Struthio camelus: one gene and its partner. The protein of the gene in region 2 interacts with the protein of the main gene of each other region in a pairwise test. Links are inferred from orthologs where the notes say so. Each region holds a gene or a part of one and is shown on either strand. Other genes may lie near its edges.

Region 1 (7,647 bases), on a different chromosome or scaffold from region 2:
GGTGAAAGAACACCTGTGTTGCATTCCCTTCCTTTGGGCTCGGGTTTGTGTCTGCTGCTGTAATGCCTGGCCCCTTGATCCTGAAGCGAGGTTCAGCCAAGGCAAATGAGGAATTTATCCAACTGGACTTCAGGTTGTTGTTGGTGGTGGGTTTATTTTTTCCCCCCTTTGGGAGGATGGTCAAACCATGGGACAGGGGTCTGGAGGGGTGGTGGGATCTCTGTCTTGGGCGATACTCAAGCCTGGACTGGACACAGGCCTCGTGCACCTGATCTAGATGGCCCTGCTTTGAGTGGGGAATGGACCAGGGACCTCCAGGCATCCCTTCCAAATGATGCAAGAGCCATTGCAGACCCTTCTGCTAGGGTGTGAGTTGCAGCACGTTGGTCTCTCTAGCATACATGGGATCATCAGTCCAGCTCTCGAGACTGTCTGTAGTGCAAGAAAAGTCCAGGCTGGAGGCTGGGTTTGGGAAGACCTTGGGGCAGAAGATGTGGCTCCTAGGAGCCCCCTTTTTTGACAGCGGGATGAGAAAGCTCGTGAGCCAGAGTCAAATGATGGTAGGAGGCCTTATGTGTGTCAGGGTTTGAGTGACATCTCCCGGTTTTGGGATTGCAGCTCAGAGGTGTGCCTTCCTGCGCTGGGTATGAGTTCACAGGATGCTGAAACCCATCTGACCTCCTGCTTGTGTGTTCTCCATGGCTCTGTGCAACGGTGACCCTTTCTCCTTGGAAAGGGAGCATGAGATGTACCAGGCATTTTTGGCAGTGGTCGTGCACAGAATGGCGCACTGTTCCTGCCCCCTGCCACGAATGGCAGCCTCAGCAGGCATGTAGCCCAGCAGGGAGCCATATACTGCAATTATTTCTGCAGACCTTACTGTTAGCCGTTCAGCATCTGTCCTTTAATTTCTGGCTCTTATTCCTAGCTGTAGCAGTTCTTAACTGTTACCCTGAAGCTGATTGTACGCCCATCTGTCTTTTCACTTGCAAAACATCCTTCTCTTGCTTTTGTTTCTGAAGTTTCAACATGTGTGCTTGCAGCTGCTCGGAGCTGTGAAGTTCTTGGGCACCACACAGAGCTGATCGTATTTCCTGTGTTCCCCCTATCAGAGCAGCTCTGGACACACCGCCTGTCACGTGCAACTTGGCAGCACCAGTGTGCGGTCCCTTTTCCGTGGCACTGTCACAGCTCACGTGGGGCGACGACCCTGGCCGCAGCAGTTCTGCTGGTAGTGATGTGACGGTGTGAATGTTTCCTGGCCTTGCAGCAGGAGCTTCCTAGCCTCTGTCTGTTTCCTTTCTGATGCCACAGGACAAAAAGCAGGAGAAAGCTTGTGCTTGTGACACAGCCTCTGGGACGGTTGCAACCCTGGGACTCTGTTTGCTTTTTATTGTTGTTATTTTATTTTTGAATGTCTAAGGCATTAGGTCTGGGTGTTGTTGCAGTGTCCCTTAGGAGTGGAGGCTCTGCAATTGCAGATTTCAGTCTCAGCTTAATTGGAGTTTGACCAGTCTTCCCAGAGATCTTTTATTGTGTTGTGTAACAGTAATGAGCTTGCAGAGGTGCAAAGGAAAAAAACCTCCCTGCCTCTATCAAGTTATGGTTTGCTTCCCAAATGCATAGCTTTCTTCATTTTCCAGGTAGTGAAGGCATGTCCCACAGCACATGACTGGGATGATTATTGTGAAAATAAGACTTCAGGTCCCATGTTTCCATCTCTAAAACACTATTGTTGCTATCCATCTCCCAAACTTGGTCTCTTGTTCTCACTAAGAATCAGTTTTATTCCTTCCCACAGAAAGTTTTCCTTTCCTTCTCTCCCCACCCCCGAAACCCAGTTGTTTTTCTACTGCCACCATATCCTTATATTGCTTTTTCCCACATAAGAGTGTGCTGCTAAAATTTTTACTTGCTCCTATACAAAAAGGACTGGCAGGCAATCCATGGCTTGAAGGAAGCTGCAGTTATTGTCTTGACAGTGTTGCTTGTGCAAGTCTTGACACTGCCCTGTGTCTGATACACACTTTGTCCGGGGACATCTGGGGAGACAGTGAAGGGAGCTGACTTTGTAGAGGCACGTGTAGAGGTGCAGGCAATGACCAACTCAAGTCTTTGTTCTTATTGTAGTTGACACCTGATTTTCCTGGTGATAATTTTGTTGCTCCCTGTGGTCTTCCAGCATTGGGCATCATGATCTAGACCCGTTTAGTCTGGCATCCTAGTTTCTGATGTGGCAGCTGTTGTGGGTTTAAGACACAAGCAGTGAAGCTTCCAGCTTTCCTCTTAAAGCTCTTGCACGTGGGAGCATTTTTCAGAGGCAGAAAAGTGGGCTGATGAAAGTGTTGATGCTCAGCAATTGCCTGGTTATACACTTGAATCGAGGAGGAAGGTTCCTGCCTAGCAGGACATGCCAGCTGGTGGATTCCCAGCTCATTGCTGCGACTGCCAGAAAGCTTGGTGCACGCATGTTCCTCCCCTGTCCTCCTGCAGCGCTCCTCCAAAGGAGAGCAGGGGAGGGGAGGGGAGACCCGTATTGCTGAAAAGCCAGACTGTTCCAGCAGCTTACTGCGAATAGGGAAGACGTGCCAAGTAGAGCAGAAACATGCTGCTGGAGACCTGGGCTGCAGCACCCGCAGAGCCGTAGGGGAGCCAGCAGGAGAAACTGGGAGCTGGACACTCCAGCTCCCAAGGATGCCCACTGGAAAAGCACCCTTTCTTCCTATTTCCAAACTGCCCGGCCTGAGCCTCCCCCTTCCAAAGGTAAAGGGTGGTGTCTCCCCGTCTCTGAGTGGATATTCTGCCTGGACAAAAGGCACTCGGTTCCCTTTGCTGAGCGTGTGGGAGTGGGAAGAGTGCTTACACAGCAGCCTCAGCCTGCTTGACCTTAGTGTCGGTTGCCATAGAGCGTGTTTGCTCTCTTGAGGGCTGTGCACTGGGCGTAGACCTGCCGGCACTGGGGAGAGCTAGAAATAAGGTGCTGTAAGGACAAACTGTCACTTTGGAGGGATAATAAACCATCTCTCACCAGCGTTTGTGGGCTTTCTTTCCTGTGCAGGAGGTAGCAGCATTTAAGCAACTCCTCTGCAGTTCTCTCTTTATTTCCTTGTCAGTACTTGGGAGGGGAATAGGACAGCCTGAGTGCTGTTGCCTGGTCTTATGCCCTTACGGGGGAGTGTCCAGCCTAGACAATCCCCCCCCCGCCACCACCCTTGCACGGGAAGTCAGAGTTGGGCGCTAAGCCTGTTGGTAGCTAGCAGAGCTGCGTGTCTGGGATATCGGAGTCTGCACACCTCTTAGGGAAGAAAGGTGAGGGCTGCGTAGGTATTTGCACAGCCGAAGAGATAAGGGATATCAGTATGTCTTGAGGATCCAAGGATCATTATATGCACTTCCAGGGTAGGTTAAGTCTGATGTGCCCTAAGTCAGCACGTTTTGCTTATTTTCCCTTCTCAGACACTCTGAAACGTTGAAAGTTGTGAAAGAAAGTTAATTGTGGGGACTGTGAAATGCTCTCAGCTTTTTCTGCTGGAAAGGCTGAAGAAAGACGGGATGCTGCTATTTTAACAGACAGCTCAGACTTCTCAGTCAAGGAGTAATTCTGTGCGTGGTGGAATTAATGAGGCTGATTTCATATGGATCTGGGTCTTGTCTGACTCTGTTATCTAGCAAGGTGCAAGTTCTGATGGTGACTTTTTGTCATGATTCATAATGTGTACCTCTCTCCCATGTGTTTGTAGTGTGCTTATCAAAGATGGCAGCAAGAGCTCATCCTCTCTGTAGGGGCATCCGTAATGCTTCCTTGAACACTGTCAGTGTTTCACAGATGACCCTATATGTGGAGGGACGGATGAAGAGGCGTTTGCAGGCTGCACAGCTGCGTGAGCTTTAGGGCAGAGCTCTAGTTTTGCTGTATGCTGGGTACGAGGCAGTCCCTGGGACCTCCTCATGTCTCTGAGCGTTGGCTCTGCTCCAGAGGACTCCTGTTTTCAGATTTCTCTGTTTTTGAGTCTAGGGCTGAGTTCCCTCCTGAGTTGAAGCTAGTGACAGGTCCGTTTTGCCCTTTAGCAGTTGTTACCTCAGCTTTGGTGGAAGCAGATAGGTATCTGCCCTGACTTCCTCTGGAGCCAGGAATCATTGCACATCTCTTCCTGAATTGCGCTCACCGGGAGAAGGCTTATTTTAGGTTTTGGGGGTTTATTTGTTTGGTTTTTCTCCTCTTGTTGCATTAACACTTAATTTCCCCCAGCCCCCCCTCCACCCCCACCCCCCACCCTCCGTGATGTTTTATAAAGATGGAGAAAAAGAAAAACTGGGGAATTATGGACCAGATGGATTCTCTAGGAACTGGCAGTTAAGCAATTTGGAAGAGAGGATGTGAGTGGCAGCCAACTCCCAACAGACCTCTCTTTTTTTTTTTTTTTTTTTTTTTTCCAAAGCAATAGTCTGTTAGTCTGTGCCCTGTGTCTTGACTCAAGTGAGGTTTTCCATGCTGTTCTTATCATGTTGTGTTCTCCTACACAAATGGGCAAATGTCACAGGCCGGATGAAACTTTTGGGAGTGAAGTGCAAAACGGTTGGGGTGACTGCATGCAGGGAATGACAGACGCTCAAAAGGGAAGGATACGACAAGCTTCTGCACAGGGCTGGTGCTGCTGATGGATCATGAGGTAAATATGAATTCAGCATTGTGACTTTGTGTGGGAGGACAGTCAATTCCTGCTGAAAGGTATGAAGAGGAGCCCAGTCTTCAAGCAACATGGTGTTTTTTTCTGCTCTGCTGAGGTTCAGTAAGGGTTCTGCTGTGCATTGAGAGCTCACTATGCTTTGCAAGGGGTGGAACAGAGACCAGAGAGGAGCTGAGAGGAGAGCTGGGGCCTGTAAAACAACTCGAGGAAGTTCTGGAGGAGTGAGGCTAACCAAGAGGAGACGGGTGGGGTGTCATGGGCTGTGTGTGCTCGCAGCATCTGCCCTGGCTCCATCCATCTTCTCTTTCCCTGCTGCAGTGAGGAGGAAATTGGTCCCCTCTCGTGCCCAGGGCCTGCTCCTAGACAAGACTGGTGGTAGCTGAGCTGGGGGATCGTCCTGAGCCCTCCTGGGCAAAGTGTGCAGCTGAGGAGGAGAGGAGGCTTGACGAGGAGGACGAGACATTCTTGCTGAGGGCGGCATTTCTGCTCGCTCTGTGAACCCAGGCCCAAGGCTGCTGCTGAACAAATTACTCAAAATCCTGCGGAGATAGGTCCTGCAGGAGGACAAACACAAATCCGCCAGGCGGCTCCTCAGCCTGTCCCGCCGCCACAGTGCTGTGTAACGCCTGGGCAGTCTGCCAGCAGGGTCCAGGGTGCTCAGCTTGCGCTGCCTCCTGCCAGCTCTGGGCCTGCAGAAGGGTGTCGCTGGGCAGATGCTGCTGCCTGCTGAGGGGCGTCGCATTGTGAGGCACGGCTCTCCCTAGCTCCTGAGTTTGCTATGCAGGGATCTTGCGGTCATGCTAACGTGGTGGATTGTAGCGCTCGGTGCCCCTGTGTAAAGGCAGTGGCTTGGTACTGTCTGTTGTATAGATGGGGAGAGTGAGACGGGGAAGGAGTGCAGAGTTCTTGTGCCATCCTGAGGAGTCCTTGGGCTGGCAGCAGGGCAAATGGAGCTGGGAAAGCTGCTGCTGTTTTAAGCTAACACCCACACAAGGGTTACGCTAGTATAACTTGCGCAGTTGGTGCATGTAAACTTCCCCACACAGACGTGCTTCAGTCAATGTTGGTGTTTTCGTGTCCCACAAGGGCTGTTCTGTGCCGGGGGCTGAGATTTTCGGGGTCCGCATTTGGTCAGGGAATTTGTTGACTGGTCTAGTAAGTCCACAGGTGCCTCCCAGTCTGAGAGGTACTCTTCTAGGGAATTTGAGGAAGCGGAAAGCTTTGAGCTGGCATCTCTCCACTTTCTATTCCCTTTCTTCTGCAGTCGGAAGAGGCGTTGAGCTCTGACAGCCTCCTCGCATCAGTGATTTGTGGGCGGGAGGTGTACGTGTTGCAGCCCCAGCTGCCGACTACAGATCTCTGCTCTTAAATGGAAGCTAAATCAGCTTTCCTTGCTGCCAGGGGTGTGGGGGTGTTGGAAGTCAGCGCTTGTTCTGGCCTTTTTGTCTGCTGTCCATGCGTGCCACCTGCCCTGTCTGCCAGTGCTCCATGCCACAGAAGCAGAGACACGTGCCCTGAGAGCTGCCTGCTGCCAAAGGGAGAGGGGAAGACAAAGGGGAAAGACTTAGTGTGGGTAACCAGTTGTACCCTGTCTCTGGCTGCCTGAAGGAGGCTTACACTTGTCTGATTGCAGCTCTCTGAAATAGCACTGAGGCTCCTGGGTTTTTGTCTCCCTCTCTGTGTAGGGCTGCGGTAGCAGGACTATGTCCACCATGGTGTACCCAAGGGAGGAGAAACTGGACAAGCTGAGCCAAGAGGAGATCATTTCCAACACCAAGCTGGTGATGCAGGGGCTGGAGGCACTGAAGAATGAACACAACTCCATCCTGCACAGCTTGCTGGAGACCATCAAGTGCCTGAAGAAGGATGAAGAAGCCAATCTCGTGCATGAGAAATCCAACCTGCTCCGCAAGTCAGTGGAGATGATCGAACTGGGGCTCGGAGAAGCTCAGGTGAGAGTGGCGAGTGCCCTCGTAGGTGGTAGCAAGAACTGATGGGGAAGGCAGGCATTTGGCTGTTTTTTGTAAGCTGCAGGGGCAGCAAAGAGCTGAAGGTAGAGGGCCAGGGTGACCCAGAGGGTGGGCCCTCCTGAGCTTGCGTGTTGTAGGGGATACAGGATTGTGGTAGGTACTGACTGGCCAGCTGGGACTTTTGGCAAGGTGATGATGGCATTGTCCAACCATCTGAACGCTGTGGAGTCGGAGAAGCAGAAGCTGCGCGCTCAGGTGCGGAGACTGTGCCAGGAGAACCAGTGGCTGCGTGATGAACTCGCCAACACCCAGCAGAAGCTGCAGCGCAGTGAGCAGACCGTGGCTCAGCTGGAGGAAGAGAAGAAACACCTTGAATTCATGAACCAGCTGAAGAAGTATGATGAGGATGTCTCTCCTTCGGTATGTTCTTGTCTGGGGGAACAGCTGCCTTTGTGCAGGGGGCTGGGACCAGTGGGATTGCCTAGGTTTAATAGCCTTGTCCCTTGCTGGCTTCCTTGCCCGGCAATACTTGGCTGCAACTAAAGGGAGACCGCATGGGGCAGGGTCTCGGGCAGAACGTGGGGAAGGGTGCCAGGGTGCGTTGGGGGATGTTGTGTTGGCTTCATTGGGTGGGAGGGGAAAGGTGGCAGAGGCCACAAGGAAGCTGAGGGCCTTGGTGGGCTGCAGTGGAGAGGAGAGATTGGCAGCTGATTTGGCCCAGGCTGCTGCCACCTCCTCTGAGAACCAACAGCATCGTGATCCCCATTCTTCCAGGAGGAGAAGGAGGGCGACTCCACCAAGGACTCTCTGGATGATCTGTTCCCCAATGAGGAGGAGGAGCACGGTCCTGGATGTAAGTGTTTGTGCTCATGCATGGTTGCCGACCACCTCTGTTTCAACCCGTTGTGCCCAATGTTGCCCCCGTTTACTCATCTGTGCCCACAGTGCCCCACCAGCACAGCAGTGCAGTGGCAGCTGCCCAGCAGGGA
Region 2 (7,935 bases):
CTATAACAAAGTGACGTATCTTACTACAAGAGATTGGAAAAGTGTTATAACAGTGGTCATTAGTGGCACCAAATCCCTCTGAACTAGGATAGCTTTTAATAAATCTCATCAGAAAATGAAGTTTTAGTCTGTCATGTGCTTGCAGCAGAGTGTGAGTGGTTTTAGAGGTTAGTACAGAAGGCAACTGAACCTAGCTTGTTATAGTCTGTCTGCAGTGCTACATAAAAGGAACAGCTGCACCGACTGTGGGTGGGAGTCAGCTGGCCAAATGCAGGTATTTCATATCTGAGGGAGTCAACCCACCTCTCTCTCTAATCATTGGAGTGAACAGACCCTCATAGGATAGATTCATTTTTGTCCTATGGCAGATATCAAATATTGGTCATATGAATCACAACCTAAAAGACCATTTTTTTCATGGATTTTAAAGGGACTATAAGGCAACCAGCTCATGTGTGGACGTCCACACTGCAGACCACTAAGGTTAGGTAAACTGCATTCAGGGTCTCCGACAAAATATTAGCAACTCTTGGCTGAAGAGTGAGCAACTCCTTAAGCTACTCAAACTTGACTGCAGTTGCTCTATATTAGTCTCTACACTGTGATTTTCGGTTTATTAATAAGTTTAGCATATGTTTTCATGGTGCGTTTGTAAATCCTATAAGCTATTTTGTTCAAATTATGACCCGTTTTATATGGATAACGGAGATAACAAGACTAGATTATCTTTTTCTTACAGTCATGTATATCATAATAAACTTACATTATATTTGTGAAACTATAATGGGAATAAAAGTCACGTACATGAACAGAATGAGGCTTAGAGAAGGATATCTGGTCTCCTTAACTTACATCCCTAAGTGGAATGTATCTTTGTCTTGGTGGCAAACTTGACAAACAGGTCCCTGTATCCAGCAACTCATTTCTGTCTCTTGCTAAAGCTCTTCACTTCCTCAAATAGGCAGGTGTAACTGTTTACAAGGTCACACCATAAACCTGACAGAGATGTGATCTAGGGTAAAACTAACACTTTATTTCACAGGATCCTATTTAATCCAGATCATTTCACCAACCCAGTTTACAGTGCCACCACATAAACAGCTGTACCTGCACAAACGACAGAGTGATAAGCAAAAGCAGAGGGCAAGAACAAGCGCTGAGGGGCGAGGACCTGTTAAGTCACTTTTGTTGCCGAGGACAAGATGCAAAGAATAGCACAGAACAGCATTCAAAGCTGAAGAGGCTCCTCCAGATGATAATTCAGAGCAGAAGCCTAGCTTACATAGTCTGAATTGCTCCCTGGAGGAACCTCTCTCTCTCTTAGACTATGCAAGGCATCTAGGGAGACGAGCCTCCTAATTTAGGCATCCAAGTTAGATGCTAAACGTAGGCAGTATTTCCCCAGAGAATGTGAATGGGATGTTATAAAAATTTAAAATATGTTTAACCAAAGCTATTATGCCAATGTTTGTTCTTTTATGAGATGCTGTTTTCTGTGCTACTGACACACTGTTATGACACTATTGTGTTGCTCATTTATTAGATGCACGAAAAAATTAACAAATGCACATCTTCCAAATACAATCCAAATTTAAAGTTAAAAAAAGATTCCCAATTTTACACTCGTAATGGGAACCAGATTAAGTTGTTCACATGGAAACCACTGCATATACCCTATAGTTATCACATCAGAGGACCAGAAAGAGAAAAGAAAGGGAATTCACAATGATCACCACCATATTATTTAACCTTCTTGTTCTTCTTAAATATTTTTGTAGGTTTTCATTAGGCACTTTGGCTACACTTTCATTTGTAGTTATTTCTTGCCATTTAGTGTATTGCCCGTGTTTACTCAGACCTTTATACACATGCAGGGACTGAAGTTTTAGAATTTATCTATAAATGACAGAAATTGTTCTTCTAATACAGATGCATGGCCACCAGTGTGCTTACCTCCTCACTCCTGACTTGCACTCTTGCTTTTTAAGTATATACCAGCACACAGATTTTCACTGCATCTTCCTTCAAATATGACTACCTTCATTGCCATTGATCATAGCACTATTCAAAGGACTGTTCAACACAATCCTGGAAAGGATTATGATACGTTAAGAAGCGCTCTTTAAATATAACTGACTTCTATTCTGGATGACTGTGTTTACAGGAGTGGACTGTTAAAGTCAGTTCACCTTCTAGTATCTCACACTGCAGAATTGGAGCTAGGATGCCTAGGAAATCTAAAATGGTGGGCAAGCTATTAATATGTAATAGACTGAGCTTTGTTTAATCTAATGGTTTGGGCATCTAAACTGCGCAAAAAGCTGCACAATAGCTCTTATATTCGAAACTGACACTTTAAGTCAGAAACGTATCTATAAGCAAAGGCCACTAACATATACCAGCACGACTTAAATTTTTGGCTATGCCAGGTAACAGGCTGCATTGATACAACTGCTTGGTTCAAACTACTGAAGCCTAGTATCCTACAGTTGTGTATCCATTTCCCCTTAGCCCTCACCACTGCAATATATAAAGCAGCCTGTGTGTCACATATGACACTGCAGCTGTGCTCAGAAGTAGGTGCAGCAAGTAGCAGTGAGGGCAGTCAGTCATTTTTTGCATGCAGATTGGCCAGCCTGTTGCCAGATGAACCATTTAACAGCTAAGTTCTCCCCACCTTGTGCTCCATTGGGGCAACAGCAAGGCCCATCTTTTGTATCCTGCCACTTACTACTAAACTAAAAGGAACTCAATTATTATAACAACTTCCAACCTTTTGTCAGATGTGCCTGAAATTAGCCAATGAGGTTCGAAATGACTGCCGTGGGAAAGACTGCATGCAATTCCAGAAGTGTCACATCTTTAGCAAACCAGCCTAAAATCCACACCCTACCATGAAAGAGTTATATTGCCAAACCTTTCTCACTTAATTCTCTTGTGTATCACAGGAGATTTCTTCTTAGCTGTCAATTCTAGCAAACACATCATATTAACGGAGCTCTGCCACTTTATACTATCTGATGACCTGCCACAGGACTGGGATGATGTGAATGAACTTTTCTTTTCCTGTTCCAGTTTTCATGTAACAACTGCTGACTCCACTTTCTCTGAGGTTTCTTTCCAAGCCTTCCTTTCTGTTTGGACTACTGTAAGCTACTTTCTTATTCCTTCTCTGAACAGTAACACTCCAGCAGATGCAAAACGCTTCTGTATATTAAGTGTATAGAAAAAAGAAATATGACACCTTAGTTTCTAGTAATTCTTCTAATTTCTGTCAAAAGACTCAAAGCAGAGCTATTATTTTTTCAACCCACTGTGGACTTGCTTCAAGCCATGTCAAAGATCTACCTTCTCTTCTACCTGTTCTTTCCATTAATCTGGCATTGGCCTCTTCATCATTTTAATCTAAGAGGCCGTAAGTGTCGTGACAACTATTTCTCTCTATGGCTCCAACCATGCAACAAACATCTTAGGTGGGACTCCTCTCACCCACCTTTAGGCATCTGCACTGCAGAAACTGCTATTTACAATGATCACCTTCTATAAATATTAGGAAAAAAAAAAAGCACATTCAGGGCACAGTCCCCCTTGGTCAAAGGGGGAACTATATCCCTGAAGTACCTCTCTCTCTCTACCATGAAGAAAATCTAGAGGAAGCCTAATTCAGATGCACAAGTCTACGTAACAGATGTCTATCTTTGACTGGAAAAATACAATAGCTTGCGGCCAGCCCTATGCTGACTTTCTGGTTTAATTGAAATCTCATCTGAAAATCAACTGCTCTGCCTTGAAAGAGTCTTTATTACCAGCCTACAGAATTTTGAGAAGTAGCTTGTGTGAAAGATGTCAACTAAATCCTTCTGTGTTGCCACTTTGTCAAAATTTCTTAAGGTTCAGACTTTAAAGTTCTCTTCGAGGATAAAAAATGGTGGATGTGTCATACTAATAAATACCATACAATAAAAATACCTAGGCAGACCAATTACTATGCATGTTTACAAAGTAATATGCCTTTACTAAGTTGTGCATAACTTCTCTTGGGAGGTTAATGACCATGATTATGTAACATGCTCCTTCTTTTCCCTATTGTTTCTCTATTGCTTTTCACCTCCAATTATTAAAGCATTTCTCAATGTTGTCTGTAAGACCTTTGGTATAGACTTATGTTTGCATTTGAGTATTAAAGATTACTACAAAGGCAGAATAATTCCTATGGCCCAATTAAATATAATTGCAAGGGGAAGCGATGACAAAAGCAGAGGGCAGTTCATAATTCACAAGTATCTCATGTGCTTTCAGTCTTCTCTTGCAGAACTTTGTGTGGGAGGAGGCTACGAATGAAGCTCCCTGCTACAGCGCTAAATGCCCGTGCCAGCCATCTGAGTTAGATACAGTCTATGGAATTTATGCAATAATAACCAAATCAATTTAGAAACCAGTTTTGTTAATCTGACACAGACCCTAAGTGTGGCTAGCTTAAAACATGGCTGACAGTGTCTGCAATTACTGTGGCTTAAGAGATACTTTTGAACCAATTCAGATGTTCATGGCAAAAGAGTTACGCTAATTTATATCAGCTTCTGATTGAACTGACTAAATTCATAGAATAAATTGGAGAGAGAGGGCACACAATGCCAGCTCTGCGGGCAGAATTACAGGCCTCTGGGAAGGGGCATGTTAAGTCTCTGGGGTTTGGCTGCGAGTAATGCCCTCCTCTACCAACACAGCTGGAGCCTGTCTAACCACAGCCTCTGACACCCACCAACATCATGTCTTATCCAGAACTGCTAGGTTTAGGTCTTCTGTCAAAAAGAAAAAAAAAAGTAATCCATGGGAGAGAATATATTCATAGTAGAACAAGTTTCAGTGGTTTAAAGTGTCACCTCTCCCAAGGATTTCTTACCTTCTCTTTGCCTGAGATTACTGCCTCACAGCAGAGTTGGTGGAATGAAATATGTGCATGACTCTCGGCTGCTTCAATATGAGGTCCAGCAAATTAACTTAAATTGCTGATAAGGATGAGTTTAATGCCAGTTTTTGTAATAAAATGGATTAGAGACAGGAGTGTTTTCCATTCCAGGGACTGTTGTGGAGGCAGAAACCTTCAGCAGAGAGGTAGAACAAATAATTAGGGAAGTAATATATCTTACATCACTCCAGCCACATTTCCTGGAGTTCATCTGACCATAGCAATACAAAAGGCTATGAAATGGCATGCGCAAATCTACTGTCTTTCTCCTCATTAACAAGTTTATGAACTTCTATAGGCCTGTTAGTCCTTTCTCCTCCAGTTGTCCCTTCTCATGATCAAAAACCACATAGTAGTATAATTATGAGCTTTACAGTGAGAAAGAGCAGGAGGCTGGCCTAGAGGACCTCCTGGGGTCCCTTCCAACAGGAACTACCCTGTGATCCTTATGTATGCGTAGTATACAGGGTTAGCAGTCTGGAGAGCTGGTTCTTTTCCTGCTGCTTACTTTTAAGTTATAGTTACTTATTAGATCTTGGCAAATTGTGTAGATCATGCTTTCTGAATCAAACTTTCCCTCTGAGGAGTCCAACTAGAGTGAGACAGGTATTGCTATGACTGTAAGCAACTGCTTTTCAATTGGAAGTCAATGGGAATATGGTTACCCTATGTCACGAGGAAGCAGCCCATGGAAAGAAGAAAAAAACCAGAGGTTATGACTGAACAGCCAACCTTACTTCTCTGTGTCACAATTTCCTAGCTGAGGGATCTGATCCTCAGACAAATCAGTTCATGTGTTGGCTAAAGTGATAGGAGGTATACAGTCTTGTGGGAAGAGATATTACGGTGGTGCAAGGGACAGGCTGCTTGCAATCTGTTGGCCCTAAGAAGCCTTAGGCTCTCTAAGATCTGCATAGCATCTTTGCTTTTGGGTATGTGGAAAACCAGGAGGAATCATGCCTTCAGCAGGCAAGTATGGAGAAGTCTGGAAAAGGGGGAAGCCAGAGGGGCTCACAAAGGCAGAAAAATCTCCACGTGATTTTGAGGGAAGCAAGACATGCGCATATATGTGAGTGACACATACACACATGCTGCATTATTTAAGAGGCGTACTAAGCTCTTAGCTTCAATCCTTGCTCTTTCACTTATGTTAGTTAGCATTTCTGAGGCCCTTTTTGTGAAGTACCACCTAATGCTGCTACGTCAAGGTAACTAACGTTTACGTTTTCCAGTTAAGTTACATGTCATTATAGGGAGCTACCACATGGTCATTACTGGGAAAGTCTCAGAGTTGTCACAAGTGGCACAGAGCCATTGAAGTGGTGTTGGTGCACACGGAAACACAGCTCAAATCTGTTGGGATCTCACTGGGCTAATCCTGCCTCCATCACATGTTCCCTCTGTCTTCCTGGGGCCCGATGCAGCTTTGTGGGGTCAACTAATTCAGGAATTGATTCTGCTAAAAACTGTTTGGTTTTTTTTTTTGGAGAGGTATACCCAGCTTTCAGATGGTTCAGACCCTAGACCTACCTTACCAGATAGTGACTTGAGCATTACTGCTGTGTAAGTCACAGGAAAGCATAGCCAGGATCAGAGAAGAAGGCAGGACTGTCCCTTTTGGTAGCAATAAGGACACTGACTGACTCACATTAATTGTGAAATCATATCCTTTGAGAGACTTATTGTTTCCTTTATAAGAGACCCAACCGTTTATCTTACGTATGAGATGCTTGCTTCAGAAATGCTAGGTAATATCCATTCTTGGCAATAACATAAACTGGGTGCTTTTCTTTGATTAGGCTGCCTGTGACCACCACGTATCACCTGGCTCCCAAAAAAATGGGAAAATGGGAATCCCAAAAATCTTATGTGTTCAGTTCTTATATGAAAGCCATGACATCTGCTAGCAAAATGTGTATCAAGTCTCTGTGTGCCCATACAGAGGACAACTGCATATTTTGCCTTTTCTAGTCACTCCCACAGCTGAAGTGGGAAGAGATGAGTTTTGTATTGTGTATGTGAAAATCCATTAAAACTTAAATAAATAAAACCTAAAAAAAAATGGTAACCATAGAAAACTGCTGGAACTGCAGTTCGGCTGGTTCAGAAGCGTATCTGCATGCTGTGGTGTTTTATCACTTCTAAGGCTTACACTTTCCTCCTTTGAAAGGGAGAGTGCCACTTTTAACTGTGGGTCTTTTCTTAATGGACTGAAAGGGCGAGGCTCTCTTTCTTAACTCAAGCCAGTAATTTTAACAGAAATTATTCTAAGGATTCCTAAAATGTAGGCTTAACAGTGGAAACGGGGGGGGGGGGGGCAGGGGGCTTGCAACACCCATCGCCATCCTCAAAGATGAAGATGTGAAGAGCTTTTCCTTTGTTTGAAGCTCGCTGGAGAAACCACACCCTTTCCCTCCGCCAGGACAAGGTCACGGAAACTCTTGAGGGAGAAGGTGCGAGTTTTCTGCCTACGCATCCAGGCAGTGGAAGGCCCTTCACACGTTCGAGAAAGGTCAGGACTCGTCTGTTCTTCTCTCTCTCCAGAAAAACAAACAAAGGAAAAAAATCTCCGACTCCCTCTGGGGACCCACGAAAGCGCATGTGGAAGAAGCCTCCGCGGGTGCAGCTCCGGGGTCACCCCCGTGGGGACGGCACCTAGGGCCCCTCTTGGGAAGGGACAGCGCTTTGAAGGCGAGGCCACGCCGCCGGCCGGCCGGCCGGCCAGCCCTCGGCAGGGGTGCCGGGCACCGGGTGCCCTCAGCGCCCGCCCTGGGCGCGGCCGGGGCCGAGCTCCCCACGGGCGGGTGGGGCGCGCCCCGCCCCTCCCCCACCAACGGCCGCGCCCCCGCCTCGCAGCTGCGGCCTCGCGGCGGGGGCGGGGTAGCGGGATGCTGCGCCGCGGCTACGCCGTCCCTCCCCGCGCTCCGCCGCCGCCGCCATGGCAACCGGCCGTTGCCGCCGCCGCG

Evidence for each region. The genes of interacting proteins can lie anywhere in the genome.
Region 1: the proteins of KATNAL1 (region 2) and KLC4 interact in binary tests that used the Homo sapiens proteins (3 or more experiments, as listed by UniProt). The two-hybrid records come from large-scale screens. The link is inferred for Struthio camelus from reciprocal best matches to the Homo sapiens genes KATNAL1 and KLC4.

The regions. Positions count from the first base shown.
Region 1 is NC_090944.1:148,108,117-148,115,763, forward strand, and holds the start of KLC4 (kinesin light chain 4), read left to right. Parts: upstream 1-4,643; 5' UTR 4,644-4,658; coding exon 4,659-4,670; intron 4,671-5,952; exon of another isoform or gene 5,953-6,257; intron 6,258-6,373; coding exon 6,374-6,640; intron 6,641-6,847; coding exon 6,848-7,078; intron 7,079-7,432; coding exon 7,433-7,511; intron 7,512-7,603; coding exon 7,604-7,647.
Region 2 is NC_090942.1:199,541,240-199,549,174, forward strand, and holds the start of KATNAL1 (katanin p60 ATPase-containing subunit A-like 1), read left to right. Parts: upstream 1-4,932; 5' UTR 4,933-7,481; intron 7,482-7,848; exon of another isoform or gene 7,849-7,935. UniProt on the Homo sapiens protein: Regulates microtubule dynamics in Sertoli cells, a process that is essential for spermiogenesis and male fertility. Severs microtubules in an ATP-dependent manner, promoting rapid reorganization of cellular microtubule arrays.